Nothobranchius furzeri: one gene and its partners. The protein of the gene in region 1 binds, or shares a complex with, the protein of each later gene. Links are inferred from orthologs where the notes say so. Each region holds a gene or a part of one and is shown in the gene's direction. Other genes may lie near its edges. The genes, in order: piga, pigq and dpm2.

The links.
Region 2: piga (region 1) and pigq share a complex: the UniProt entries of both Homo sapiens proteins name them as parts of the glycosylphosphatidylinositol-N-acetylglucosaminyltransferase (GPI-GnT) complex. The link is inferred for Nothobranchius furzeri from reciprocal best matches to the Homo sapiens genes PIGA and PIGQ.
Region 3: piga (region 1) and dpm2 share a complex: the UniProt entries of both Homo sapiens proteins name them as parts of the glycosylphosphatidylinositol-N-acetylglucosaminyltransferase (GPI-GnT) complex. The link is inferred for Nothobranchius furzeri from reciprocal best matches to the Homo sapiens genes PIGA and DPM2.

The regions. Positions count from the first base shown.
Region 1 is NC_091754.1:25,451,387-25,462,023, forward strand, and holds the end of piga (phosphatidylinositol N-acetylglucosaminyltransferase subunit A), read left to right. Parts: coding exon 1-101; intron 102-5,313; coding exon 5,314-5,520; intron 5,521-5,592; coding exon 5,593-5,829; 3' UTR 5,830-6,036; downstream 6,037-10,637. Other genes in the region: asb11 (ankyrin repeat and SOCS box protein 11), read left to right, coding at 7,842-7,926, 8,146-8,225, 8,320-8,427, 9,207-9,357, 9,454-9,588. UniProt on the Homo sapiens protein: Catalytic subunit of the glycosylphosphatidylinositol-N-acetylglucosaminyltransferase (GPI-GnT) complex that catalyzes the transfer of N-acetylglucosamine from UDP-N-acetylglucosamine to phosphatidylinositol and participates in the first step of GPI biosynthesis.
Region 2 is NC_091745.1:17,736,289-17,746,948, forward strand, and holds the start of pigq (phosphatidylinositol N-acetylglucosaminyltransferase subunit Q), read left to right. Parts: upstream 1-4,450; 5' UTR 4,451-4,583; intron 4,584-5,474; exon of another isoform or gene 5,475-5,602; intron 5,603-6,652; 5' UTR 6,653-6,665; coding exon 6,666-6,818; intron 6,819-7,025; coding exon 7,026-7,248; intron 7,249-8,147; coding exon 8,148-8,344; intron 8,345-8,465; coding exon 8,466-8,662; intron 8,663-8,864; coding exon 8,865-8,996; intron 8,997-9,487; coding exon 9,488-9,608; intron 9,609-10,660. Other genes in the region: protein-lysine N-methyltransferase EEF2KMT, read right to left, coding at 614-747, 2,437-2,538, 3,606-3,686, 3,763-3,813, 3,927-4,028. UniProt on the Homo sapiens protein: Part of the glycosylphosphatidylinositol-N-acetylglucosaminyltransferase (GPI-GnT) complex that catalyzes the transfer of N-acetylglucosamine from UDP-N-acetylglucosamine to phosphatidylinositol and participates in the first step of GPI biosynthesis.
Region 3 is NC_091746.1:70,776,565-70,785,668, reverse strand, and holds the end of dpm2 (dolichol phosphate-mannose biosynthesis regulatory protein), read left to right. Parts: intron 1-4,084; coding exon 4,085-4,174; intron 4,175-4,301; coding exon 4,302-4,404; intron 4,405-4,524; coding exon 4,525-4,580; 3' UTR 4,581-5,140; downstream 5,141-9,104. UniProt on the Homo sapiens protein: Regulates the biosynthesis of dolichol phosphate-mannose. Regulatory subunit of the dolichol-phosphate mannose (DPM) synthase complex; essential for the ER localization and stable expression of DPM1.

The DNA.
Region 1 (10,637 bases):
ACGTCCGCGGCGTTTTGGTTCAGGGACACATCTTCCTCAACACGTCGCTGACCGAAGCCTTCTGTATGGCCATCGTGGAAGGAGCCAGCTGTGGCCTGCAGGTCTGTTTTTATTCAAAGGTGTAAAACCAGCAGGACTTGAGTGGGAAAAATCTGATAATTTAGTAACATTCTTCAGTTTAAGTTGTTTGCTTATCTTTTTAACCCTTGGAGGTTCCTTAAAAAAAGCTACACTGGGGACCCTCGCACAACAAAAGGCATTTTAGCAAAATGTATAAAAAATATAATTTCAAAATTCAAAAAAAAAATTTCACTGATTCTATCCTTAGCTTCAGTCCTCAACAAACATAGTAAAATAATTGAGAGTTTTTGAGATTTAACTCCTTTAGTGCCATATTTTGTCAAAAAAATCAACTGTATAAAAAACAATAATTTTTTGTGTGTTATGTCCACATCACTTCTTCTGGGGCTGAATTGTGAGGGCTTTGGAGAGTCGCAAATGAGCAAAAAATATTTTTTGTTTTCTCTGTTTTTTCTGTGTAGTGTCAGATATTCAGCAAAACTCACATTCAGGTCCCTCGCACAGAAAAATGCATTTTAGCTAAATGTGTAATAAAAATTATAAAATGTTTCAAAAGTCAAAAATCTTTTACACAGATTATTTTCTTAGCTTCAGTCCTCGCAAAACATAATAAAATATTTGAGTGTTTTTGAGATTTAACTCCTTTAGTGCCATATTTTGTCCATCCATCCATCCATCCATCCATCCATCCATTTTCATCCGCTTATCCGGAGTCGGGTCGCAGGGGCAGTAGCCTAAGGCAAGAGGCCCAGACTTCCCTTTCCCCAGCCACTTGGGCCAGCTCCTCCTGGGGAATCCCAAGGCGTTCCCTGGCCAGGTGAGAGACATAGTCCCTCCACCGTGTCCTGGATCTACCTTTAGGTCTCCTCCCGGTTGGACGTGCCCTGAAAACCTCACGAGGGAGGTGTCCAGGAGGCATCCTGACCAGATGCCCGAGCCACCTCAACTGGCTCGTCTCGATGTGGAGGAGCAGCGGGTCTACTCTTGATGCAAAGGAGCAGCAGATCTACTCCGAGCCCCTACCAAATGACCGAGCTTCTCACCCTGTCTCTAAGGGAGAGCCCAGCCACTCTTCGGAAAAAACTCATTTCGGCCACTTGTATCCGCGATCTCGTTCTTTTGGTCACTACCCAAAGCTCATGACCATAGGTGAGGGTAAGAACGTAGATCAACCGGTAAATCGAGAGCTTCGCCTTCTGACTCAGCTCTCTCTTCACCACGACAGACCGGTACAACGCCCGCATCACTGCAGATGCAGCATCAATCCGCCTATCGATCTCACGTTCCAGTGTTCCCTCACTCGTGAACAAGACCCCAAGATACTTAAACTCCTCCACTTGGGGCAGGACCTCATCCCTGACCCAGAGAAGGCATTCTACCCTTTTCTGAATCAAGACCCTGGTCTCAGATTTAGAGGAGCTGATTCTCATCCCAGCTGCTTCACACTCGGCAGCGAACCGCTCCAGTGAAAGCTGAAGATCACGTTCTGATGAAGCCAACAGGACCACATCATCTGCAAAAAGCAGAGACCTGATCCTCAGGCCACCAAAACGCATGCCCTCCACACCTTGGCTGCACCTAGGAATCCTGTCCATAAAGGTTCTGAACAGAATCTGTGACAAAGGACAGCCTTGGCGGAGTCCAACTCTCACTGGGAACGAGCCTGACTTACTGCCGGCAATGCGGGCCAAGCTCTGACACCGGTCATACAGGGACCTAACAGCCCGTATCAGAGGGCCTGGTACCCCATACTCCCGGAGTACCCCCCACAGGGCCCCCTGAGGGACGCGGTCAAATGCCTTCTCCAAATCCACAAAACACATGTAGACTGGTTGGGCAAATTCCCACGCACCCTCCATGATCCCCCTAAGGGTATAGAGACTCCTCCTGAGTCTGAGGTTCAACAATCCGACGGACCCTCCTCTCCAGAACCCCTGAATAGACCTTACTAGGAAGGCTCAGGAGTGTGATCCCCCTGTAGTTGGAACACGCCCTGCGGTCCCTCTTTTTAAGTAAGGGGGCCACCACCCCAGTCTGCCAGTCCAGTGGGACTGCCCCCGATGTCCATGCGATATCGCGCCAGCCAACAGCCCCACAACATCGCTCACCAAGGAACTCCGGGTGGATCTCATCCACCCCCGGAGCCTTGCCACAGAGGAGCTTTTTAACCACCTCAGTGACCTCAGCACCAGAGATTTGAGAGGCCAACCCAAAGTCCCCAGACTCTGCTTCCTCACTGGAAGACGTGTCGGTGGGATTGAGGAGGCCTTCCAAGTATTCTGCCCACCGATCCACAACGTCCTGAGTAGAGGTCAGCAGCACACCATCCCCACTATAGATAGTGTTGGTAGCGCACTGCTTTCCCCCCCGAGGCGCCGGATGGTGGACCAGAATCTCCTCGAAGCCGTACGGAAGTCTTGCTCCATGGTTTCACCGAACTCCTCCCATGCCTGGGTTTTTGCCTTGGTGACCACCCGAGCTGCGTTTTACTTGGACTGCCGGTACCCATCAGCTGCCTCTGGAGTCCCACAGGCCAGAAAGACCTGATAAGACTCTTTCTTCAGCTTGACAGCATCCCTAACCGCCGGTGTCCACCAGCGGGTTCGGGGGTTGCCACCACGACAGGCACTGACGATCCTGCGACCACAGCTGTGGTCGGCTGCCTCAACAATGGAGGCACGGAACAGGGTCCATTCAGACTCAATGCCCCCCGTCTCCCCCGGAACATTTTGGAAGTTCTGTCGGAGGTGGGAATTGAAGCTCCTTCTGACAGGAGACTCTGCCAGACGTTCCCAGCAGACCCTCGCGATATACATTTGGGCCTGCCTGGTCTGACCGGCATCCTCTCCCACCATCTGAGCCAACTCACTACCAGGTAGTGATCAGTTGACAGCTCCGCCCCTCTCTTCACCCGAGTGTCCAAGACATGCGGCCGCAGGTCAGATGAAACAACAACAAAGCCGATCATCGAGCTGCGGTCTAAGGTATCCAGGTGCCAAGAGCACATAGGGACACCTTTATGTCTGAACATGGTGTTCATTATGGACAATCCATGACTGGCACAGAAGTCCAAAAACAAAACACCCCTCGAATTCAGATCAGGGGGCCGTTCCTCCCAACCACACTTCTCCAGGTCTCACTGTTGTTGCCCACGTGAGCCTTAAAGTCCCCCAGCAGAACGAGGGAGTCACCGGAAGGAGCGCTTTCCAGCACCCCCTCCAAGGACTCCAAAATGGGTGTGTAGTCTGAACTGTAGTTTGGTGCATAAGCACAGACCACAGTCAGAACCCGTCCCCCCACACGTAGGCAGAGGGAGGCTACCCTCTCATTCACCGGGTTAAACCCCAACGTACAGGCACCACGATGGGGGGCAACTAGTATGTCCATCCCTGCTCGGCACCTCTCAGTGGGAGCAACTCCAGAGTGGTAGAAAGTCCAACCCCTCTCAAGGAAACTGGTTCCAGAGCCAGAGCCAGAGTCATGTGTTGAGGTGAGTCAGACTATATCTAGTCGGAACCTCTCAGCCTCACACACCAACTCAGGCTCCTTCCCCACCAGAGAGGTGACATTCCATGTGCCAAGAGCCAGCTTCTATAGCCGAGGATCAGACTGCCAAGGTCCCCTCCCTTGACTACCACCCGTCACACACTGCACCCGACCCCTTTGGCCCCTCCCACGAGTGGTGAGCCCATGGGAAGGGGGACCCACGTTTCCTCTTTGGGCTGTGCCCGGTCAGGTTCCATGGGTGAAAGCCCGGCCACCAGGCGCTCGCCAGCGTGCCCCACCTCCAGGCCTGGCTCCAGAGGGGGGCCCCAGTGACCCACGTCCGGGCGAGGGAACACGGTTTCCATTTATATAATTCATCATAAGAGGTCTTCGGGCTGCTCTTTGTCTGATCCATCACCTAGGACCTGTTTGCCATGGGTGACACCAGAGGCAGAAAGCCTCAGACAACTTAGCTCCTAGGATCATTGAGACACTCAAACCCCTCCACCACGGTAAGGTGGCAGCCCAGGGAGAGGGCCATATTTTGTCAAAAAACCTAAATCATTTCTCGTGTGTTATGTCCAGAGGACTTCTTTAGGGGGTGAATTGTGAGGGCTCTAGAGAGTCACAAATGAGCAAAAAAATATTTTTTGTTTTATCTGTCTCTTTTGTATGGTGTCAGATATTCAGAAAAACTCACATCCAGGTCCCTCACACAGAAAAAAGCTCCAACCTCCACCACCCACCAAAGCATGAAAAAATCTTTCCTCTGGTCATTTGTCGATTGCATTGAGTCATAAGTGCATGTATGTAAGTGTGCAGAATCACACAGAAAAAGCACATATACATCTGTTGTGTAGGATTTTGCACTGATATTAGACTTTGGGTGAGAACTGATTTTTCTAATGAAAACTGAAAAAAACACAGTCACATAAATTATGAAAACACATTTTATTTTTAGTAAACGTACCCAAAAACACACTCCGGAGCAAAATAAAAATAAAAAGAATTTCATCAACACAGCCAAAGTTATTCAAAAATACATGACTGCCTGCGCAACAAAATGCACGAGGGACCTCTAAGGGTTAAGGTAAATTCTTGCAAGGTATCAGATAGCTTGTTTGGCCCCCACGCAGTGTTTTCTCACTGATTCATGGAAAGTGTCTGCTCCTGTTTCCAGTTGGTTGAGCTTACACACAAGCAAAAGTTTGATCTCTTTTACATCTCTTACTTAGGTTTTACTTTCTGTGTAACAATAAACTAATCAGACCTAAATCTTTCATACAATTCATGATAATTGTGTAACTTTATCGTTAACAGATATAAACTAGTAGCAAACTAAATCTAGTCACATGTGAAAGTGTAAAGAAGTGAAACAACCTCATTAGTAAAATATTTCTTTGGTATGCATTCCAAGTAGGAAGCAGCTGGTTTTTGAGTCTTTGATTTGTCGTGTATCAGGATCACTAACTGATGCCTTTTGAACACTTTTCTGTAGGGTGCTTCTTTTCTGTCCGCTTTCACACATTCGTTTAAGTCTGCATCTTTTTTTAATAGAAAGGATTTTATTTTCAGAAACACTCCATATCTTTGGAATAGTGATGCTGAATTTAAAAATCTTCATTGTTTTATCTAAAACAAACAGATTCAGACTGATCTTTAGCTGTAGTGGAATAATTCTGATTTGCCTTATTAGAATGTTGGTTTTATCAACTCTGAGCAGCTCTTTTCCATCCTCCCTGGAAGGTTGTCAGCACTCGCGTCGGTGGCATTCCTGAGGTGTTGCCTGATGACTTAATAACCCTGTGTGAACCTACTGTGCGGTCGCTGTGTGATGGTTTGGAACAAGTCATCGCTAAGCAACGATCCGATTCTTTCCCCTCACCGGCTTCAATCCACAATCGTGTTAGAAACCTCTACACTTGGAAAAATGTCGCAGAGAGGACAGAAAAGGTACCAGAGGATGACTTGAATGATAGGATATCTGGTGTAGGTAATGACATCATCATATGTTTTTCCTCCCAGGTGTATGATAAAGTAGTTGGAGAAGAGGTCCTCCCTCTGGCCAAGAGGTTGCGGAGACTCCGGTCTCACTGTGGCCCCGTGGCTGGATCCATCTTTGCCTTTGTTGCCATGCTGGACTTCCTCTTCCTGCTGCTTCTGCAGTGGTTGTTGCCAGATCGGTTCATGGACGTGGCTGTTGATGCCACCGGCCCTCATGGACTGTGGAGACAGAAAACAAGCAGGAAAAAGTTTGACTGATTCCAAACTTGCCACAAAACGAGAAAACCCATCTCTCCTTCGGCCATCAGACTGTTTAAATGCTGTCTGTACTCGATCAAATGCTCAACGTTTACATTTTTCTAAACAAAGGGAACTTTGTGTGGAGGCTCTTCTCGGTAGTTAATAAGCACTTTTTATTTTTTCTTACACTCCCTGCTGCTCTGAACTAAAGCAGTGAAAACACTGGTTACAATAAAGCAGCAGCATCTGCTCTTAATCACGTCTAATAAAATAACAGTTGGTTTGATAAATTATTTGTTAGAGCACACGTTTATATTTATTTTTGGAAAGCTCTTGATTTTCCTGTCAGTCTATGTTCCAACCCTCACATATGGTCACAAGCTTTGAGTGGTGACCGAAAGAACGAGATCGCGGATACAAGCGGCAGAAATTAGATTTCTCCGCTGGGTGGCTGGGCTCTCCCACAAGCCCTTTTTACAAGGCGCACAGTTCTGGCATGGCGATGCGCAAATTTTGCAGCATTCCTTCCATCTCCTTGGTAGTAATATTGCTGTAATTGTCTGTCTTATTGCACCTTAGCGGCAAATTGACGGCATTGCTTTGTAAAAACCAACTGAGAGAAAGAGTGAGAAGCTTGGTCATCCAGGAGGGGCTCGGAGTAGAGCCGCTGCTCCTCCACGTTGAGAAGAGCCAGTTGTGGTGGCCCGGGCATCTGGTTAGGATACCTCCTGGACGCCTCCCTGATGAGGTTTTCCAGGTATGTCCCATCGGGAGGAGACCTAAAAGAAGACCCAGGACACGCTGGAGGGACTATGTCTCTCAGCTGGCCAGGGAACACCTTGGGATTCCCCCAGAAGAGCTGGCCCAAGTGGCTGGGGAGAGGAGAGGGAAGTCTGGGCCTCTGCTTAGGCTGCCGCCCCCACGACTCAACTCCAAATAAGTGGAAGAGAATGGATGGATGGATTTTTTAATTCAACCTTGAAGGTTTTTTTTTTCTTTCTTTTTTTGCAGATGATGATGAGTCTGCAGCCATCTGCGATGGATTCTAACGTTTGCTAAAAATAATTTGAAAATATGTTAACTGATTTTTTTAAAACACATGAATAGTTTCTAAAATTGTGGATTTAAGCAGCTTTTCTGATATTGTTTTCCAAAAATATCTAATATTTTTACATCTGTTTTTTTTCTTTCACAGAATTGTCCTCAAAAATCAACATCTCATTGAAAAAAAATTGTTCTCTTTTTCTTCTAAATCCCAAAGGGAAACAAAATTGTTTTTCAGAACTGAAAACAAATCTCTAATATTTGAAGGAGAAAAAAGATTCCTGAACTTAATCCCAAATTTTGTCTTTTTTTCCTCATAATTCTCAAGTTATTTTTATAAATCTGAAGGAAAAAACATTTCACTGGTCGTCTTCTTCCATGAATATTTTTAAATATTTGTAAAATTTTGTTTTGCAACAGGCCCTGTAACAGTTGTGGCTCTAAAGTTTTATTTTGTGTCTGAGGGGAGAACCTCCTGGCCTAGATCTGTAAAATAAAGCAGATGTTTAAATCTATATAAAACATTCACCTCTTTATTCATGTTTCAAAGGAATATTCTTCATTGGAAAACAAACAGAAACCATTTGTTCCTGGGAATTTGTTTTTTGGGAAAGCTCCAAAGTAGCTGTTAAACAGGAAGTAGTAAGTTCACACATGGCGGAAAACCTTGTTTTCTTGTTTACATTTGAGTAAAACTAAGAAAGAATAAAACATTTTGCATGTGATGGTTTTGGGCTTTTTACAGCTATTACCATAGCTTTATTATAACGTGCATGAAGCTTGATGCAGCTGTTTACTCACCCAATCCTGCAGCCCTGCAGTTCCCTCACATTTTTTAAATGTTTTGTCTGAAAGGTGATCAGGAACATTCCAGCTGCTATTGTGATGCAGATGCAGAAGGGGGGAGGTAATGTGGGGGTGTTGACCGAGGACTCTGATAAGAGTCTGTTTTCAGTTTGTGAGCCTAGTCTGCCTCCATTTCCATCATGGCTGCAGGTCAAACGCAAGTCTCCAAGAGATCACAGCCGTTTTACATCTACGGGGGTCTGCCGTGTAACTCTCTGATGGCCGGTGAGTTTCGTTTTTGTAGTTTTGGATATGAGAGAAATGAGGAGTCAGCTGGATTAGATTAGACTGCATTGCTATTCAAATTTGGCCAGCTTTGCGGTCCAACTAAAACATGGGTGTGTTGCGGTTCATCAAGAAATAAAAACATCCACTAAAACAAGAAGAACAATGATCTACTTTTCATTTCCAGTGAAGTCAATGTTTTTGTTTCTCTTGTCTCAGATTCGTGGTCAGACAGAACCCCCCTCCACGAATCAGCCTGTCAGGGCAGACTCCTGCACATCAAGACTCTCATCACTCAGGTGATCAGAATAAACATACTTCATGAGATTTATATCCGTCACACACGTTTTAGAATGAAAACCAGACAGATTTTATCCTCCATATTGCCTCCAGGGCCTCCATGTGGACACACTCACCATAGACAGAGTCTCTCCTCTGCATGAAGCCTGCCTCGGCGGTCATTATGCTTGTGCCAAGTTGCTGCTGGACAATGGTGCAAATGTGAGAACACACTATTAGTAAAATGTACAATGGGGTCTGATTTTGAGGCGTCCATGTTGAGAAATATCAGGCTAGAGATTAGAGTTCTTCTGAAGTTTGTCCTTTTTTAGGTTTTAGTGTGAAAATAGAGTTTAACATATAGTTTTATGGTATTTGTATTACTTTATTTGAGCTTGTATTATTTATTTAGGCAAGGCAGCTTTATTTATATAGCACGTTTCATACACATTGATTATGCTGCCTCGCTGCCACCTAGGATTGACTGAATAGTGTTTGTTGTTAGCCTCAAGGGCAACCTGCTGGCTGGATTTTCACCTGTAAGTCACTTCGTACAAAAGCGCCTGCTAAATAAATAAGCATAAAAATAGGCAATTCAATGTGCTTAGAATGAGTTTTGTGCTTCTACATTGCAAAAGCAGATTTTTAAGAAAGTAAAGTTTTGATTTTAGTCATTTCATCTTATTTTTCTTTATTGCTGTTTTTTGCAGATAAGACGTTTTTTTTCTAGACCAAAAAAAAGATGAAATGTCTAAATACAAGCCCTTTTTACTGTCTTGAAAATCGTTTTTTGCAGTGCAGGAAACTTTTATTTATGAAGTTACAGCAGAAAGTGCTTGAATGACCCCTGATTAGAACAAATTTACATGTTTTACCCATCATAAAAAGCACATTTCTGCTGAAATTCAAAAGCCCAAACTTTGCAGAATTTAAACATCCGGGTTTTTTTTTTGTTTTGTTTTGGTTTTTATAAAAGTCACATGTTTATAAAACTCCTGCAGGCACAGGCAGTTTCAGCAGATGGCGCCACACCTCTCTTTAACTCCTGCAGAAGTGGAAGTGCTGCATGTGTCAGACTCCTCTCACAGCACGGAGCATCCTCCCTCACCACCAGCCAGCTGGCTTCACCCATCCATGAGGCTGCATCTAAAGGTGCATGTGTGTTAAAATGCTGCAGTTTAAAGGCTACAGCACAGGCTTGTTGATGTGTGCGTGCATGCACATGCATGTGTGTGTGTGTGATAACAGATCACAGAGAGTGTCTGGAGCTGCTGCTGTCCCATGGGGCTTCGATTGATGTGGAGCTGCCAGAGGTGGGGTCACCGCTGTACTGCGCCTGTAAGGCGGGGTCGACAGCGAGTGTGGAGCTGCTGCTACGATCAGGTAACAATCTGGACACTCACAGCAAATATAATGAAATCATGAGGATTTAAGAGGATTGATGAGTTATTTTAAAATAAAACGTCGTTGTCGTCTTCCTCCGCTTATCTGGGTCCGGGTTGCGGGGGCAGCATCCCAACTAGGGAGCTCCAGACCGTCCTCTCCCCGGCCACCTCTACCAGCTCCTCCGGCAGAACCCCAAGGCGTTCCCGGACCAGATTGGAGATGTAACCTCTCCAACGTGTCCTGGGTCGACCCGGGGGCCTCCTGCCAGCAGGACATGCCCGAAACACCTCCCCAGGGAGGCGTCCAGGAGGCATCCTGACCAGAAGCCCAAGCCACCTCAACTGGCTCCTTTCGATCCGGAGGAGCAGCGGTTCTACTCCGAGTCCCTCCCGAATGTCCGAGCTCCTCACCCTATCTCTAAGGCTGAGCCCGGCCACCCTACGGAGGAAACTCATTTCGGCCTCTTGTATCCGCGATCTCGTTCTTTCGGTCATTACCCAAAGCTCATGACCATAGGTGAGGATTGGGACGTAGATCGACCGGTAAATCGAGAGCCTGGCTTTCTGGCTCAGCTCCCTCTTCACCACAACAGATCGGTTCAGCGTCCGTATCACTGCAGATGCTGAACCGATCCGCCTGTCGATCTCCCGATCCTTCCTACCCTCACTCGTGAACAAGACCCCGAGATACTTAAACTCCTCCATTTGAGGTAGGACCTCTCCCCCGACCCGGAGTTGGCAAGCCGTAACAAATAAATCATTTCAGCATCAGAATAAAAGGAGTACACTAAGCATTGAGAAATCTCCACCTGATGAAACATACCAGAGTTTCATTCATGCAGAAAGTCATTTGCAGCTGCAGCTTTTATTCCTGAGTGATTTGCTGTCTAGTCTTTCTTGGCCCCCCACTTTCTCTTTCCATGGTAACAGACGCTGTGCTTCACACCTCACAGCAGCACATGCATTTTACAGCTTTTCTTGTCCGTCTCATTTGTAGAACTGTCAAATGTGGCAGCTAATTATTTACTACTAATCATAGCTGTAATT
Region 2 (10,660 bases), on another chromosome or scaffold:
AATAGCAGCTCACTTAAGGGCTAAGACTAGACGAAATAGAACGTTGGTTACGTATTGTAACCCCAGATTCTATGAGTCTAGTCGCAGCCCTTAAGCCAATGGCCCCACTGGTTCTGTTAGGTCTAAGAGCCATCGGAGGCGAACAGTGGAGTCGCTCCACTTATATACCCACAAGGGGGCCCACTATTAGTGGGCGTACATTGAAGCTCTTCATGATTGGCTGATGCGGAGATCATCCTTCCAATAGCAGCTCGCTTAAGGGCTGCGACTAGACTCATAGAATATGGGGTTACAATACGTAACCAACGTTAACCAGAAATGACAAAAGTTATATTAATTATAACACTTTAAGATAAACTGTAATCAAAAGAAAATCAACAACACCAGATCAGAGCTTTACAAAACTTGGCATTGGCCTACAAAACCCAGATCTGTGCATGTCTAGTATTTTGTTTAACTTGCTTTAATACAACTCTGGTCTTCAGGAAGAACTACACTGATAATCAGTTATTGTTCATAATAAAACATAAAAAATACCGTAGAGAGAAACAACGTCACACCGGACCGGTTCATCACCAATCCCACTGAGTGGATGATCTAGATGAGACGGTACCTGCCGGTGAAAACCTGCTGGTTCTGCAGAACCCACTCAGTCAGGTAGAGAGCAGCTTCCCAGGTCACGAGTCCGGTGGTTCCCTCGGAGATCAGAGCCACGTTTTCCAACAGACTGATGGCGTCTCCGCTGGGCTGCAGGACAGTCAACAGAACCAAAGACGGCTCGGGTTTTTCTCATTGTCTCCACAATAAAACACGAGTTTACAAGACAAACATCAGTCAGGGTCCCGGGGGGCTTTTAATGATTTATTTTACTTTAACAAAAAGGTCCACTAAATCAACAGCTTAAAATAATTACCGTATTTTCCGGACTATAAGCCGCTACTTTTTCCCCACGCTTTGAAACATGCGGCTTATAATGAGGTGCGGCTTTACTGAAGATTTTCCTTCACCTGCAGGGGACGCTTTAGCAGAAAGTGAAACAGGTGGAAGTCAAAAGTGGAAATCGAAGAAAGTGCTCATTTTAATTTAGCACATGCAAGCAGCCGGCACGATGAAGAATCTGTTTCAAATCCATACCCCCTCATCATGGTAACTACACGTATGAGTTCATATGATGCTGCATTTAAGTTGAAGGCCATCGATCTGGCAGTAAAGGAGGGAAACAGCGCTGCCGCACGTAAGCTTGGCATGAATGAATCCATGGTTCGGCGCTGCAGACGGCAGCGGGAAGAACTCATTCAAGCCAGCTTCACCCGGGGATGATGACAGCGACACGGACATCGCCACAGAAAAGGTATGTGACGAAGCTCTTCTGAGGCTGTTCAACTCCGACACTGAAGAAGAGGACTTTAATGGCTTTAGAGCGCAGGAGGAAGATGAAAGTGAATTACTTCTTCTGGTAGGCAGGTGTGTTTTATTTACTAACCAGGCATGTTTTGTGTGCAGTTTTTATTTTCTAAACATCCAGGGCTTATTAATGCTGTGTCAGCGCTGTTCTTTTCTTCTAAACATGCAAATGACCGGTAATAACGTGTCAGTGCTGTTTTTATGTTATAACCATCCAGAAATATGAATGCTATCAGCGCTGTTTTCTTTTCTAAACTTGCAGGCACATTCACCCGTGTTTAAAATTCCTTTTGTTGAATTAAAACAACAAGGAAAAACCTCCATGTAGCGTCTTTCTGTCTAATTATCTTATGTTATGGCCGTACATGCGCTGTGCGCCGGAGACCTGCATGTGGCTGCTGCGCCGCGGCTTGTGTTTGAGTGCGGCGTGTGTATGTAGACACCCTTTTTTTTTGTTGGTGCGGCTTATATTGAGGTGCGCTCTATAGTCTGGAAATTACGGTAATCTGGATAAAAGTAAATACAGAAAATAAATCCTGGAATTATGAAGTTGGTATATTCTAGATATTCTAGTCTGTAGTTTACAAGATTTATATAAGTTTTATTTTGTCTTTTCCCTGTTTTATTTTCTGCTTCTTGTCATTTTAAAATGTTTCCAGTTTTTCTGCAACACTTTGATAAAATTTTACTTTTGCTAACACGAGCTTTGAAATGTAAAATACAAAAAAATTATATCACATTTAAAACTCAGAAACACTTTTCTGAATGTAATTTAGGGCTGAACTCAGTCAAATCTCAGAAAGCTCAATGTAATTATGAGAAGAATTAATTAGATTTATTTAAGGAAATATAAGAAATCAAAAGGTGTATTCTGAACTGTTCTGTTTATTTCTCTGTCTTATGTGGTTTATTCTTGGGTGTGGCACATCTGTAACTCCACAGCTGTAAACAAACTCTTGTTTATAGCTTTTGTAAAAGTGTGAATAATTTTCTTTTCAAACAAAAAATCTGGTTTGTCTTTAGCGTCAGTACCAGGAAGTAGCTCTTGTAGCACTCCGGGGTCTCCTCGACTCCCAGCGCCTCGGCTAGAGCGTCGTACAGCTCATCCAGAGGATCACAGGCTGCAGCTTCCTGCTGCACACAAACAAAAACACAAAACTTCACTCCCGAGAGAAATAAACACCTCCAAGGCCAGCATCAGAACTAGGACCGTCTTTATTTTCCAGATTAAAAATTTTAAGATCCTAAAATTTTGAATGATTAAAAATAGAAACTGAAACTTAGGAAACTAAGTATAAATTCGATATATCATGAATTTTGGTTCTTTAATGGAAATGAATTTGTAAATAGAGTGTAATTTTTATGTTTCCTCCTAATCAAAGCTCGTAAAATATTATTTAAATATAACATTCACATCAAACGTCTATAAAACAACTTTTTTTCGGAACTGCGCTGCTCTGGGTGGCTGCATGTTAGAGTAGCTCTGTTGACTATATGTAAGGTTTGCCTTTTCTTGGGCATTTTTTCTTCTAGTTTCTCAAAAAAACTATTTTTTGGACACTTTACATTTCTGTTTCTGGTACTGCTATTTTTTTTAGCTTTTTTCACTTTTTGAGCATTTGTTATGATGCGTAACCATGGCAACAAGCTGGTTTACAATCTTTAGCAGCTGATTAACATTGGAAAAGCTGAAATAATACCTCAACTGAAGCCACAAATCCCAAATGAGCTAAAACACATGGATGCAGAGTGGGAGCAAAACGGAGACAGAGAAAGAAGAAATTCAAACCATCTCTTCCATCGATCATAATGGGCAATGTGAGATCACTGGCCAACAAGATGGAGGAACTCCAAGCCCTTTCAAGGACTCAGCCAGAGTTTCGGCAGTTTCGGAACCGCTGGAGGAGGTAATGCAAAGAAGGATTCTCCAGAGAATCAAGAAAATGATGGACAACCCTGAGCATTCTCTTCACAAGACTGTCCGACAACGGAAGAGTGTCTTCAGTCAGAGGCTTCTTCAGTTTGGCTGCAACACTGACTGCTACTGGAGATCCTTCCTGCCAACAGCCATTGTAATATACAACTCTTTGATGACTTGATTATTATTATTATTCTGAGCTACTACAGCAATCAATTTCCCTCTGAGATTAATAAAGTATTTTTGAATTGAACTATCAAAATAAAGTGATGCAGGAACCGACCCGTTTGATGAGTTCAGACAGAAACAGCCTTCTGTATCTGACTGAGGGAGGAAACCTCCTGCACAAAGGATGAAGACACGTCTGTCAAACAAATAACACATTTGTTTATTCCTTGATAATCGTGGATGTTAGGTAATAATGACTGAATACCTCTTACCTGCTTCAGAAGATCTAAAATAAACTCTGCTAACTCATCATTCTCTATCACCTGTGGTGGAGGAAACAGAACTGAGCTTTATATTTGCTACTTCACGTGAGGGAATTCCTCCTGCAGCAGCTAAACACGTCCACGCGTGATTTTGTGTGCTGTCTCATACTCACAGTCCACGGAAACGACGTTAGACGCTTCATAGCAAAAAACGACGCCCTAAATTCTATTAAAACCTCTCCGTTTTTCTCCTTTCTCTGCTCTGAAACCGCCATCTTTCACGTGTGTTTGTTTACTTCCTGCATACCCACAATGCCGTTAGTCGCAGGCATATGTCGATGGCCGCAGGTGCAGCTGGGTAATGCAGTTTAACTTTTAATTCTTTGTCTCAACCAGACCACTACATTTAAAAATAAGTCGCTGCAGCTGTATAAAAATGAGAAAGCTTTTACCTCAGAACAATATTAACACATAAATACAACAAATAGCAACAATATGGTTTAAATGAAACCTATCAATAAAATATTGAATTTCTTTAAAATAGGTTTTTAGACAATCAGCTTAAAAATTGGTAAGTTACAACCTGAAATAAAACAGGAATAATTTATTATTATTATTATTATTATTATTATTATTATTATTATTATTATTATTATTATTATTATTAGTAGTAGTAGTAGTAGTAGTAGTAGTAGTAGTAGTAGTAGTAGTAGTAGTACTGCTCTTTTATCAGCTGTGTTTTCCTCCCGCGCTTTTCTTGCTATGTCACTGCAGGGGGAGATAAATGTCTTTACAGTTAAGACTCTTGAACAGCAGCAGGACCTGAGCTGGTGAGCCACAACATTCTTTTATTTCTTTGTCTGTTGGATCCACCTCTCACTCTATTGATGTTTTGTTTTCTATCATATTTTTGATATACTGAGAGAAGATGTTAGTGTTCTGGTAATTTTCTTCTTAAACCGAATATGTGATGTATGTACCACAAAACAACACATTGACTTACTCCCAGACACGAAAACGTCGTTTGTGTCTCAAGTTCTTCATGAGCTCGTTATTTACCCGTTGATTAAAACCAAGTGAGTTGGTGTAGAGAAAAACAAAACATGCAGGTAGTGGCTCTGCAGTCCTGCAGGGAATACTTAAAATGCTCGTTTGTTGAAGTGTCAGAGAATGGCTGCAAGAGGGAGACAGCTGTCCGTCACCAAGTCAATTGTCTAATAACTTTATTACAGTGTAGAATCACTGGTGCAGTATAACATAAGACACAATACACAATTGTATAAATGTACTTCTCACTCTTTTAATTCAACACGTTTTCTAAAACACTATAATTTAACGCATCCATCAATGTTTATTTTACCAGGGGGACAAGGACAGCAAAATGTTGATTTTTTTGGCACCCTTTACAGGAGGTGCCAGATCTGTGGTGCCATTTTTATTTTTATTTATTTTTTGCCAGTGACAGTACGGTTGTCATGATTTCTGTTTATTTTAGAACGAAAATCAAACCATTTGTAAATCGAATTCTGATCACAGCACGATTCGGGTTTTTTATTTTGAAATTTTTTATTTTTTTATTATAAAATATCCAAACATCCTTGTTTATTATTAATGGTGTCTCATGAAAACACAAATAACGATTTTTACATTTAGTTTTAGTTATTTATTATTTTAATTAAAGAGCAGTTGCTAATAGGAACTTACATTCACGCGCGTTTCTGACCGAACACTTCGAGGGACGGACTGTAAACAACGTGAATGAAAGCTGTTTCAACCGATGGTTTCAACGTAGGAAACTTCACTCTTGGGTTCAGATGGAAGGTGAACGTTTGTAGTCGTGTTAGAAAAGGTAAGTATGCACCGCTCTTCTGTCTTACATTTATAATGATGTTGGACGTTCAAACAGGGCCGCGTTGAGTCGTTTGTTCGGTGTGAACCTTGTTGAATTTTCGGACTGTCGACAAAATAAACTCGCTTTTTCGTCGTATTGGGACCGATTCAATCGTTTGGGAGTGAGTTGTTTATGTTTTTATGATGTTACAATATATTTTCATTTGTATTCCTCTGCTAAATCAACAGTTAATCGCCATGCTGTTCCTAACTTGTTGGATCGAAATCATTGTCAGTGGAATCAATGACATTTCCGCTCTGGGCTCGTTGCGTTGCCATAACAACCGGGGTGGACTCGATATTTCAAGGGCAAAAAGTAGACCAGCCGGTTTCAGAGATCTCCGAACTCATTGTATAAATCGGCCAACTCAAAGTCTTTCCTCCGCCAGCTCTTTTCTGTAGACGCACGTCTGTCTCCTCAGTTCACGTTGTAATTGAATTTCATTCGGCTCAACTACATTTAGCGGTATAAAGACATAAAACACAGAGGATGAACCAAAGTCCTCAATTCTGTATTTTAATTTCAAGCAGCCAGACTTTCATAATTAGTTTTTTTGCACTTAAATTTTATTTTATTTCAAGTGAACCTAAGATCTGACTTTGAGTTGCATCACTACATCAACCTTTGTTGAGATGACCTGCTGGCCTATGATGCACTTCAGTTTTCTGGTATTGTTTCTCTACGTTTGGTTTAGTTTTGTGGTAAATCACTAACAAACAACAAAGTGTGATTTGTCCTGTTGGTGTTGCTCATCTGAGACCAAATCATTCGTCTGAATCTATAAATCTAAAATAACTTCTGTATAAAGTTTAGCAGCTGCTTTATCAAAAGCCAGGTGAGATCACATTTCTTCTCACAGTCAGATCTTAATCCTGTTGACAAAACAGTGAACTGTACTACACTATAATCTTTAAATTTCAACACACCAAACCTGAGATTTAAGTTGTAGTTTTATTGTGTAAATATTAAACGTCAAGCTGATTTTGTTTTTACTTGATGTTTCATTAGATCCACTGTAGTCATGGTGCTGAAGATCTTCTTCCCGCAATGCTGCAACCGAGCTGACAGCGGGCTGCTGGTGGGCCGCTGGATCGCTGGTCATGACTCGGCTGTGGTTCTAGCGGTCATCCACTACCCGTTCATCCCTGGACAGGTGAAGCAGTACATCCAGCAGGTTTGTGTCTCAGCAGAGCCCTTACTTTCCTTCATACGTCACTGGGGGTCCAAAACAACTGTGCTGTTCTGCATATTTAGAAAACTTTAGTACAGCAGAAAATATGTGAACTTTCAATGGTTTTATCACTAAGTGATGGTGTTCTTGTTTTTAAATTGGCAACAAATTAAATCTCTCTCAAATCTTTCCTCTCTCATCTCCTCCCAGATGCAGGCTCAGAGCGGGGTGGAGCTGTCTGTCCTTGGCTCCTGGAGTTTACCCAAAGAAGGTCAAGAGGGATTGGAGAGCTTCCTGAGGGACCTGAGCACCATCTTCCCTCAGGAACGTTGGCTCCAGATCAGTCGTCAGATGGGAAAGACAGGCTTCACCTGTGAGGTGCTCAGCCGCGATCAGAGTGAGAAACTCAACCTACTCACCTTCATTTTTTTATGTTAGTTTTCTTCTCTTCAGTTAAAAATCGAAAGAAATAAAAATGTTTCAAACGTTCTGGATTTACTTTGACTTCTCATTTGAGAATCTGAGACAACAAAATGTGAATCTGAATATTTTAATTGAAATAATTTAAATTATTCTTACCAGATAAAACCTCTTTTACTTCTACTACTATTTAGTTGACAGTTTATTTTTTCTCGTCGTCGTTGTCATCTTCCTCCGCTTATCCGGGTCCGGGTCGCGGGGGCAGCATCCCAACTAGGGAGCTCCAGACCGTCCTCTCCCCGGCCTTCTCCACCAGCTCCTCCGGCAGGACCCCAAGGTGTTCCCGGACCAGATTGGAGATGTAACCTCTCCAATGTGTCCTGGGTCGACCCGGGGGCCTCCTGCCGGCAGGACATGCCCGAAACACCTCCCCAGGGAGGCGTCCAGGAGGCATCCTGACCAGATGCCCAAACCATCTCAACCGGCTCCTTTCGAGCCCCTCCCGAAAATCCGAGCTCCTCACCCTATCTCTAAGACTGAGCCCGGCCACCCTACGGAGGAAACTCATTTCGGCCGCTTGTATTCGCGATCTCGTTCTTTCGGTCATTACCCAAAGCTCATGACCATAGGTGAGGATTGGGACGTAGATCGACCGGTAAATCGAGAGCCTGGCTTTCTGGCTCAGCTCCCTCTTCACCACGACAGATCGGCTCAGCGTCCGCATCACTGCAGACGCCGAACCACTCCACCTGTCGATCTTATTTTTTCTGTTTTTGAAATGTGTTTAAAATTTAAATGGCAAAATAATCAAGTCTGTCATTTAGACATTGTGTTTGTCTGTGTCAGCTGGGTGAATTATTATTTTTTTCTGCTTCGGTTTGATTTAAAAAGCTTCTTTTATTTTGTTACCAGCCGGAGGGTCAGCTCGGCGAAGCAACGAAGCAGAAGCAAAGAAAGAGAGCAAGGATGGAGGTGATGGGGAGGAGGAAGCTGAAGAGAAGGTGATCTTTGTTCACTATGAGCAGAGGAAGGTGATGCTGTCGCAGCTTCATCCCATAGCGAATGAAAACCCAGAGAACAAAAGTGAACCCTCGACTGAGCTGAGGGAGGTACGAGACAACGTTTCCTCACCGCTCAGAACTACCTTCATTGTTTAGAACTACAGAATGATTATCTGTTAAATAAAAAATGCTAAATCTGCATTTTTCCTTTCTTTCTCCTCCTTTGTAGATGTTTCAGACGGTGGCGCACAGTCAGCCGCTCTTCTTCCTCGACAAATACGACGACGGGCTGCTGAAGTCGACTCACTGGCAGTCTGAAGGCAGAGAGGCCAGCATCATCGTGGAGCTGATGAAACAGGCCTCAGTGCCTCTCTGCATTTTCATCAGCTGGCTGCTCTCTGTGTGGACGTGGACCTGCAACATCTGGTGAGAAGAAGTGGTGGCGGGTCCCTCAACGGTTGTTTTATTTATTCTTCTCTAGAGTTTGTCCAAAAGCAACAGAAAGTCCTTTCTGACATCTTTAGATTTTATCTGAGCAGAAATGCAAAATACGCAAATATCATCAGATCATCTCAGAAACTAACATTCATTGTTGTTTAGTCTGCATCTTTATTCTGTTTCTGTCCAGGATCTTCAGTGTTTTCCCGCTTTGCTTCCTGTCCTCTATACTGTCCACTTTTATCCAGCTCAGCTACAGGACAGAGCACATGAGGACGCTCAGTTCGCCTAAATCAGCTGAAGGTCACACCCAGTTCATGAGGTAAACCTCAGAGTCAAACTGCTCAGCAGTAGCTCAACAGGTTGAGCGGGTTGTCCAGTAATCGGAAGGTTGCAGGTTCGATCCCGGCTCCGGACAGAGAATTCTGCTGTTGTGTCCTTGGGCAAGACACTTAACCCACCTTGCCTGCTGGTGGTGGTCGGAGGGACATGTGGCGCCTGTGCTCGACAGCCTCGCCTCTGTCAGTGCGCCCCAGGGCAGCTGTGGCTACATCGTAGCTCATCACCACCAGTGTGTGAATGTGTGTGTGAATGGATGAATGATACACTGTAGTGTAAAGCGCTTTGGAGTCCTTACTCTGAGAGGCGCTATACAAGTGCGGGCCATTTATCATTTATCATCTGTCTTAGAATGAAGCAGAACAGCTGTTATGGGACAACGTAACATTTGGTCAAGTCATCACACACAGTTGATGTTTTTGGACTTCCTGTTTGCCCAGACGTGCTCTCACATCTGTGCATTTCTGTCTGAAGGAAGGCTAACATCCTAGTGTCGGTTCTGGTGGACGTGGCCCTTGGCGTGTTTCTCATGTCGTGGCTCTACAGAGACGATCACATCTCCATGCTGGCCGACGCCCTGGTTCCTGCTGCTGACGTACGTCCGAAATCTGAACCAACAGTGTTTTGTTCTTTTTATCTGCATGATTTTCACACATCAGGTTTGTTCATTAATTGCATTAGTAATTAGTACTAGCTGATGACCAGTGATGTGCAGGAAGAGTAATAGAGAATTAAAGGCCTATCAAATCACAAGATCGTGTGAACTTTTGGAACACGAGTGGAAAATAACTCTCAGCTACTAACGCATAAGATTAGCTCATTATGTGTAAAAGCTGCAGTTCTAGTTATTTATGAGTTAGATCTTATTGATTGGCTGTGACGTCCGTTTTTAATTAGGCCGACTACAAAAGCGAATCCATTGCAGATGACCACCTAATGCATCATTTCTAGGAGGAGCAGCACATGTTTTAGGTGCTGCTTTATTTCTCCTACTCAAGCAAACCACTCATTAAATGTTGACAGAAACACCCGTGAAGTAAGCAGGTGAGACCAAGCAGCACTTATTGAAATCTGATCGTGCTGCACAAACGAAGGATGGACACAGCGAGGACAGAAGTGACAGAGCAAAGTAAAACCTGTTTTTTCTTTTTGTCCTTTTAGTGAGTTGCTGATTCACTAAAATGGAACAAAGTCACTCCAGAGGAAACATGTTCAGGATTTCTAAAACAATAAACATTTTCGTATTCCCAGTCTGCACCCTCTTACTTTTACTTTTTTTACTAATGGGAAATAATGATAATTGAAAAGAAAAGAAATAAATAAACAAGTTTCTGATTTCGGTCCTGATCGATGGACTCCACTTTCTCCTCACTGTCTGATGCGATGGGCATTCCTCAAGGAAGCGGTGCACCGTTTAAGAGGATTTTGATTGAGAGTTTTTAATCTGAATGTATCTGCAGCAGGATTCTAAAGCATCTGACAATGTGTTTGTAAAACTCATCACTTTAAGAGACGATGGATTAGATTAGATGGATGTTAATCATCTATAAATGGTGCAGAAGTCTGTTCTTGAGGGCTGAAGCCTAATTGTCATTTATTCACATCCCTTTGGTAAATTTGGGCCAGAGTTAAATCAAAATACTGCAT
Region 3 (9,104 bases), on another chromosome or scaffold:
ATGGAGCGTAGATGGTGTTTACACCAGAAATGGCTGAATGATGAAGAATTCCTCACTTTTGTAGAAAAAGAAATAGATGAATATTTTACTATAAATGGTTCACAAACATCAGCTAGTATTAGGTGGGAGGCATTTAAGGCATGTTTACGGGGAGTTATAATTGCATATACTTCATCGAAATCTAAAGAAACATGTAAAACAAGACAGCAAATGGAAAAGGAAATTAAAACTCTAGAGGAACTAGTATTCAAAAGTAGAGACCCAGTAACAGAGAAAAAATTGCTAATACTAAAAGCACAATACAATAAAGAATCGGCAGATAGAGCGGCTTCGAACATTTTGAGATTAAATCAGTCTTTTTATGAACAAGGAGAAAAACCTGGAAAAATATTGGCATGGCAAATTAAACAATTGGAAGTGCAGAAAAATATAACATCGATTGTAAGCAGCAAAGGGGAAATGATAATAGACCCGATGGAAATAAATAAGGCGTTTAGAAACTATTATGAAAAACTTTATGAATCTCAGGATAGATCAGATCAAACCTCCAGAAATGCGTTTCTGGATAAAATAAATATTCCTACTATTGCAGATGACTTAAAACAACAATTAGATGCAGAAATCACCGAAGGGGAAATAAGCAGGGCAATTAACAGTATGAGTTCAGGTAAAAAAGCGGGACCAGATGGATTTCCAATTGATTTTTATAAAAAATTTAAAAGTAAATTAGTGAAACCATTATTGGAAATGTATCAGGAATCATTACACAAAGGAAGTCTTCCTAAATCAGTAACGGGTTCGCAAATCATTTTGCTACCTAAGCCGGGAAAGCCGAGTAATAAATGTGAAAATTTGAGGCCGATAAGTTTACTCAATTCCGATATTAAGGTGTTAGGTAAAATATTAGCTACACGTTTGCAAGGTACTCTCCCCTCAGTAATTCATAGAGATCAAAATGGCTTTATATTGGGACGCCAAGGTCTGCATAACGTAAGAAGAGTCTTTAACATTATAGACGGAATAAACAATTCGTCAGAGAGCGCCTTACTCTCGCTGGATGCCGAAAAAGCATTCGATAGGGTCGAGTGGCCCTATCTTTTTGATGTTCTGACTAGATTTGGGTATGGAGATGTGTTTCGAAGATGGATACAATTATTACATTCAAATCCAACTGCTGAAATCTTGACAAACAAAAATGTCTCTGAACCAATAAGGGTGAAACGGGGATGTCCACAAGGCTCACCGATAAGTCCATTGTTGTTTGTATTAGCTATAGAACCCTTTGCTATAGCCGTACGTTCGAGTTTATCGGTGACAGGAATTATGGTGAATGAAGTAGAACATAGGATCTCGTTGTACGCTGATGATGTAATAGTATATCTCTCAAAAATAAAGGAATCAATACCTGCTCTGCTTAGATTGATAGGGGAGTTTGGTCAAATATCAGGATATGTCATTAATAAATCTAAATCATCCGTTATGTTGCTAAATGAGGAAGAAAGGGACAACCCACCCACAGTAACATCCCATTTTAAGACAGTAAGGGACTTTATGTATTTAGGGATACGGATTTCGTCTAAACTAAGTGAGATTGTGGAAAATAATTATGAAAGACTTTCTAAAGAAATAACAGAGATAGTGGACAGATGCATATCTCTACCAATTTCTTTAATGGGTCGGATTAATATATACAAAATGAGTATACTGCCAAAGGTGCTTTATGTGTATCAGAACATCCCCTTGCCGCCTCCTGTGGATTGGTTTAGCAGGATCAAAAAGCTTGTTCTCGGTTTTTTATGGCAAAATGGGAGACCAAGGATAAGATTGTCATTGTTACATCTACCATACAATGAGGGTGGTGTCATGTGTCCAAATATTGAGTGGTACTACTGGGCATGTCAAATAAGGTCTATAAGATACTATTTTGACTTAAATAACGCCCCGCAATGGTCAGAGATGGAAAGTATGAATTTGCATCCAACATTACCATTATATTTTTTCTCAGACACAGCAGTAAACTTGATTAGAAAGGCAAAAAACCCAATGGTGAAGAACATGGTCAAAGTATTGTATGGTGTAAAAAGATATATGAATGAACCTGTTGTATTGTCACAGTTTACACCAATGTGGGGAAATCAGAATTTCAGACCAGGAAGAGAAGATACAGTTTTTAAACAATGGTCAATTAAAGGACTTCAAAAAATCTAAGATTTATATCCAACAGACTCTCAAGAAATGATGTCCTTTGATATGCTTAGACATAAATATAATATTGATAGAAAGCAATTTTTCAAATATCTCCAAATTAGAAGTTACATTCGAGCAAATCAAAATAATACCTGCACCAAACCACCAAAATCAGAACTGGAAGAAATAATAAGTAAAAGCAGTTTGAAACAAGGGGCAATATCAGAAATATATAAATTACTTAGGTCCAAAACATCTGAAAATTCGTTAGGAAGATTGAACGCCTGGAAAAATGATTTAAAAAAGGACATAACCAGGGATCAATGGGAATTGGTTTGTACAAAAGCTCATAAACAAACAATCAATTCTAGACTAAGGTTGTTGCAATACAAATGGTTGATGCGAATATATGTTACTCCCGAAAAGTTGAATAAGTATAACCCTAATATACCAGACATTTGTAATAAATGCAATGAAGGGAAAGGTGATTTTTGGCATTGCATTTGGGGTTGCAGGAAGATAGGATCCTTTTGGATTGCAGTAACACAAACTATGAAACAAATACTATCCAAAGAGGTTGTTTTGGATCCCTGCTTTCTTATTTTGGGATTGTATCCTGAAAACATGAGGTACACAAAAAGCGACAGAATGTTTATTGATATGGGTCTGTTACAAGCAAAAAGATTAATTGCTTTAAAATGGAAAAGAACAAGGGAGCCGAGTATCACACAGTGGATAAAACAAATGATGGTGGTTTTGCCAATGGAGCGGATAACATGTATACTGAAAAAGAAATTGGATGTTTTTGAGAAGGTATGGAGACCGTTTGTGAACTTTGTAGAAGGATTTGTATTAGCTGAGGAGGATGAGGACTGAGGACAATGACATTTGTTTTGAGATAATGTCAAATTTAGGCCTTTAACGGAGTGATAAATCGACTGTTTTTTTTCTTTCTTTTCTTTTAGATGTCTGAGAGGAGAATATGTTCATGTAGTGTTTAGTGTGTTGGAATGTTTGCTAGTTGCTAAAATGTAACAAAAAAAAAAAAAAGATATTGTTGGAAAAAAAAATCATTTATTAATCCAAATGCGTGTAAAAGAAATGCGTTTGTAATCCTAACCCTAATCCGCGAGCAGGTGACAGAAGTAGGCTCAGAATAAAAACATCACCAGTGCTGCAGGAGTCATCGTGAGCCGAGCCGGTATCGGCCCTTCAAACTAGAATCGGTGCAGCCCTTATTTGTTTTATTTGTTTGGGGTTATGGTTTACCAAAATAAATGTCATATCTGTGATTTATTGTATTTACAACAACGGAAGTGACACATCAGAGCTTTCTGGTTAATTTGTTTACATTTTCATAACAAACAAAATCAAGAATCAGCAGATTTGAACTAAAGTCTTGTGTTCAAAGTTTGAATGGAGTTTTTAAATGAACGGCATCAGAAACATGATTAAATAAGACATTAGGCCAAACCAAGAAATGCACCAGTCCTTCAGTAGTTTATTTTGGGTGATTACACTTTTTTTCTATTTAAAATATATTTATTATATATTAATAGATAATATATTTATAGATATAAACTACATAAATAAATGATATAAAATTAAAAAATAAAATAATACTTAAAAGAATAAACTTTGAGTCATTCCCAGAACCACCGTACCGATGCCGGATCCTGCAGCTTTTTATAAGACTGTATTTAATTCACACACACACACACACACACACACACACACACACACACACACACACACACACACACACACACACACACACACACACACACACACACACACACACACGCGCGCACACAAACACCTCACTGTTTATCTCTGATTCTTCCTGTTGATGATCAGGAAGCTGGATCTTGATCCCAGGCTGCATTTGTGCTTCCAGGCGTCGGGAGCAGATCAGGCGGTCGGGATGAGTCTCGTTGTTTTCAGCCTCCTGTTGTTCTCCTACTACACTGTTTGGGTCATCGTTCTGGTGGGTTCTGTTGGGTGTTTGCAGCTAACATTTCTCTAAATGAAACATCTTCCATGTCCTCATCTTGAGTTCTGTATCTGATCATGTGACTTGAGCTTCATTAGGTCACCTTTGTGTTACTTTCCAGCCTTTTGTAGACTCGGATCACCCCCTGCACAGATGTTTCCTTCCTCGGGAATATTCTGTGATCCTACCAGGTGTTGCTGCAGTAATCTTTGTCCTCTTTGTTGGTCAGTATCTTCACTCATAAACTTCTTCATTAAAACATTCTGTTTATTTTCTGTCGCATGAATATGGGATGTTGATGTTTTCCGTGGATGAGAGGAGATGACTCTGTGCTTCCTCTGCAGGAGCCTTCACTACCTTCATCATGTGGAAGGACCACAAACCAAAGAAAGTGGCCTAAGGAGGATTGAACCCCTTAAAGGTTATTCCTGCTGGCGGCGACACCAGAACCACCAGCTCATACTTTTGTTCTGCACAATAGACTTTTTCCTGCAGTTATAAACAACATGTTCTTCTGCAAAGAAGAGAAATGTCCCTTTGATGCCCTTCCGCTTCAGACGTCATTTATAGCGCGTTGGCGCCACCTAGTGGCCCAGCTCGTACTACACGATGGAGAAAACGTTCTGCAGATTCAGACTTGGTTCTATTCAGGTCTCAGAGGACTTCACTAGAACCAGACCGGTTCTATAAGATCACACCTGCTGCAGCAGAGAACCAGAGGTCACATGTCTAGATGATGTCAACATTCACCTGATTTAACCAGATTTTATTTGAATGTTTAGAAAGAGTAAATGTTTAAATGGAGCCTGTTTGAATCCGTTTCACATCCAGATGTGTTCACTCAAAGCAGACCGACTGACATCTGAGTGCTGAAATCCAGCTGTTCTGGTGTTTTACTGCAGCTGGAGTTCCCGGATGATCGTTTTTCTAAAATAAAACTAAAATGTTTTCTGCTTTGGATCTGCGCTCGTTTCTAACTCACAGACATGATGATGATAGAAAAGAGTTCAGAACCCGGAACCAGGATCTCCTCCAGGCCTGGGCCTGATCTGGACCTGCACCAGGCTCAGCCTCAGCTTGACCAATCAGTGCCTGTGTGGGGGGGTGGGGGGTGTAGAAGCTTCCGGAGCCTCCAGCTGGACCAAACTGTTGTCAGCTATTCATCGTTCTGCACCATCACTGCATGACGTTGCAGAACCGGTTCCTGCAAGTGGTTCGGTCCGTTTCGGTGGTTCGGTCCGTGCGTGTCACCGGGTGGGACCCGGTCCGTGGTGCGACCAGGCTCCGCGCGGACATGTGAGTCAGAGACCCGAACCCACCGAGCCGGCTCCGAGCTGCGGTCCGTTCTGAGGTGAGTTCTGGTGATGATGATGATGATGAAGATCTGCGGCTCGCCTCTTTGATCTGGAGTAAACTTTATTTAGTTTCAACAGAATCAGGTTTATTACCAGAACATCCATCAGAGGCTCAGGAGTTCACTAGAATGGATGGGTTGCTGGTTCGAACCCAGGCGCCGTTATATCAGCCGTTGTGTCCTTGGGCAGGACCTGTACCTCCCTGCTGTGGTGGTCAGGGGGGCCGGAGTGAGTGAGCCAGAAGGTCGTCCACACTGAGGCTGTGGGGCACTGACACTATACGCGCAGGCAAGGAGGGGGTTTGAACCAGCAACCCTCGAGCAGCGTAAACTCCCCGAGCCACGTCACCACCTCACCCATTCATCCAGTTTTAATGTTATGAGCTTATTGACACATAAGTCTTAATGGTCGCTCACCTGAACTCACGTGCAGGATGGGATGCGTGCAGTAAACTAACCAGACCCGGAACCCAGAGGTGGTGATGGTGGTACTGGTTCCATCCCTGACTCTGTGATATTGGACCGCGTAAATCTGCTGAACTGTGTCACTAGCGCTGCGCCGCGGTCCGCTGAGCTTTCATCCCTTTGTGTCGGTCTCCATGGTGACCAGGTTCTGTGTTTTGTTTAGCTCTCGGGCCTCTCTCACTCTTTGATTTCTTTAGTCGGAGCTGTGAACGACAGACCGGGTCAGCTGACCCGTTCCTGTTCTGTTGGAGTCCAAATGGAGGGATCCGGCGCTCCCAGGACTTCTCACCGCCGCCGCTCCGTTAAGAGGATGAGATGGGGGGGTCTGAGGCAGCAGTGGAAACTTCTGGGTCTGTTTGAGATCGACCAGAACCACGAGTTCTACAGCCTGACCTGCATGATGAAGGAGGGTCTATTTGCAGCCATCCAGAATACCATCAGCCTCCCCACGGTGAGTACCCTACCAGCAGATCCCGGATCCATCAAAACACGGGTCAGACCCATCTGATCACCATGGCAACGGGCTGTACCGATCCACTCTGCTGGTTCTGACTGAGAGCTGGTTTCAAAGGTTCTGCTGGTCACTGAGGTGGAGGGTGATGATGCTGTGTTCTGGTCTGGTCCAGGTGGTTCTGTTCCACACAGAGACACCCACCCCATACAGCGCTCTTCACCTCATGGAGCAGTGTGGATCAGCATACCTGTCAAAGGTGTCGTTTTAACTAAGACATGCCATCAGGTGGAGATGGAGAGTGGAGCTGGTGGGTGGAGCCAGAGCGTTGGAGCCAGAGGGTGGGGCTGGAGGGTGGAGATGATGGATGGAGGTGGTGGGTGGAGCCAGAGGGTGGAGATGACGGGTGGAGCTGGAAGGTGGAGCTGGTGGGTGGAGCCAGAGGGTGGAAATGAGAGATGGAGGGTGGAGCCAGAGGGTGGAGATGATAAGTAGAGATGGAGGGTGGAGATGATTTGTAGAGATGGAGGGTGGAGATGATGGGTGGAGCCAGAGGGTGAAATGAGAGATGGAGGGTGGAGCCAGAGGGTGGAGATGATGAGTAGAGATGGAGGGTGGAGATGATTTGTAGAGATGGAGGGTGGAGATGATGGGTGGAGCCAGAGGGTGGAGATGGTGGAGATGATGGGTAGAGATGGAGGGTGGAGCCAGAGGGTGGAGCTGGAGGGTGGAGATGATGGGTAGAGATGGAGGGTGCAGCCAGAGGGTGGAGATGATGGGTAGAGATGGAGGGTGGAGCCAGAGGGTGGAGCTGGAGGGTGGAGATGATGGGTGGAGCCAGAGGGTGGAGATGGTGGGCGGTGATGATGGGTAGAGATGGAGGGTGGAGATGATGGGTGGAGATGAAGGGTGGAGATGATGGGTAGAGCTGGAGGGTGGAGATGATGGGTAGAGATGGAGGGTGGAGCCAGAGGGTGGAGATGATGGGTGGAGATGGTGGGTGGAGATGATGGATAGGGATGGAGGGTGGAGATGATGGGTGGAGCCAGAGGGTGGAGATGATGGGTAGAGATGGAGGGTGGAGATGAAGGGTGGAGCTGGAGGGTGGAGATGATGGGTAGAGATGGAGGGTGGAGTCAGAGGGTGGAGATGATGGGTAGAGATGGAGGGTGGAGCCAGAGGGTGGAGATGATGTGTAGAGATGGAGGGTGGAGATGATGGGTGGAGCCAGAGGGTGAAGATGATGGGTAGAGATGGAGGGTGGAGTCAGAGGGTGGAGATGATGGGTAGAGATGGAGGGTGGAGCCAGAGGGTGGATATGGAGGGTGGAGCTGGAGGGTGGAGATGATGGGTAGAGATGGAGGGTGGAGCCAGAGGGTGGAGATGATGGGTAGAGATGGAGGGTGGAGATGGTGGGTGGAGCTGGGCCGTTTCTCAGTATGCATAGTTGTCTGTACCAAGCCCCCACAATGCGGGTGAAAAATTGAAGCAAACCCGGAAATGAAATAAATTGCAGTTCCACCCTCATCCACTAGGGGCTGGTGTCAGAAGCGAGCAAATCCTCATTGACTCCCATGTTAAAAATACCAATTTCACAGCAGAAATAAACATGTTTACAGCCTGGTACCAAAACATGTTTTAGGTTTAAATGATCTAGTTTACACTCATGACAACTCTGAGGGGGGTGAATTTTTTTCTCACTCTTCTGTTTAGGTGTATTAAAAGCCTAAAATTCTGTATAATTAATGAGCATCAGACCCACGTGACCGCAGAGCTAGCTCCGGGGAAAGGCCTCAGTAGAGCCTCGGTCTGGCCTGGAAACTGTTCTGGGATTTAGAGTCTCCGTGTTTGTGTATTCTGTTTTTGGATATTTTTTGTGCAATTGTTGGACAAAATGACTTGCTGTGGCATTAATTGCACTAATAGCGCGTCCAAGGAGTCTCCACTTAATTTTTTTCGGTAAGTAAAATTATATTTATGTATTTTAGGTCACTGCCGAGCTGAGCTTAGATTTTAACATGTACTGTTTAACCATGAAATTTAAATGTAATAGGGTAAAACCCAGTGCATTTAACATAATGCTGCACTTTAGAAAATGGGTTGAAATATAACATGTTGGTGGAGCTGGGTTCCGACTATCGTCTTGTGGAGGTCTCGGGAGACCTCTGTGTTCCACCTGGTTTTACCCAGCGGTCAGCCCGGCGTATCTCTGACTCAGAAGCTCTGGTGTTGTGCACAGTTAACTCCGGTTGTAGCTAGGATGCTACCTCCGTTAGCTTAGCTCCCACCTCCGCGTTAGCTTTGGGTTCGCTTCAGGTTAGCTTGTAGCTAGTTTGACCGGGTGTCGTCAGTTGATCCCAGCCTTACAGCCCCACCCTCAGCTCCACCTCTCTTCCCTTTTATGGAATTGTCTGGGCTTGACGGAACCTGTGACACGGTCAAAATGGCGGTGGTGGCCACCTCCCATTTATCTTCAAAAACGTGTTATTGGAGTCTACGGAAACCCATTGTCCAATATTTATGTCAATGGTCTGTACTTGTGTACTCACGTCCTTGTGAACATCATCAGCGATGGCCCAAGGACTGCTCCAGTACTAAGTTGGCAAGATTAGATTCGTGCTCCACCCGTATCCCACAATGCATTGCATCACAAC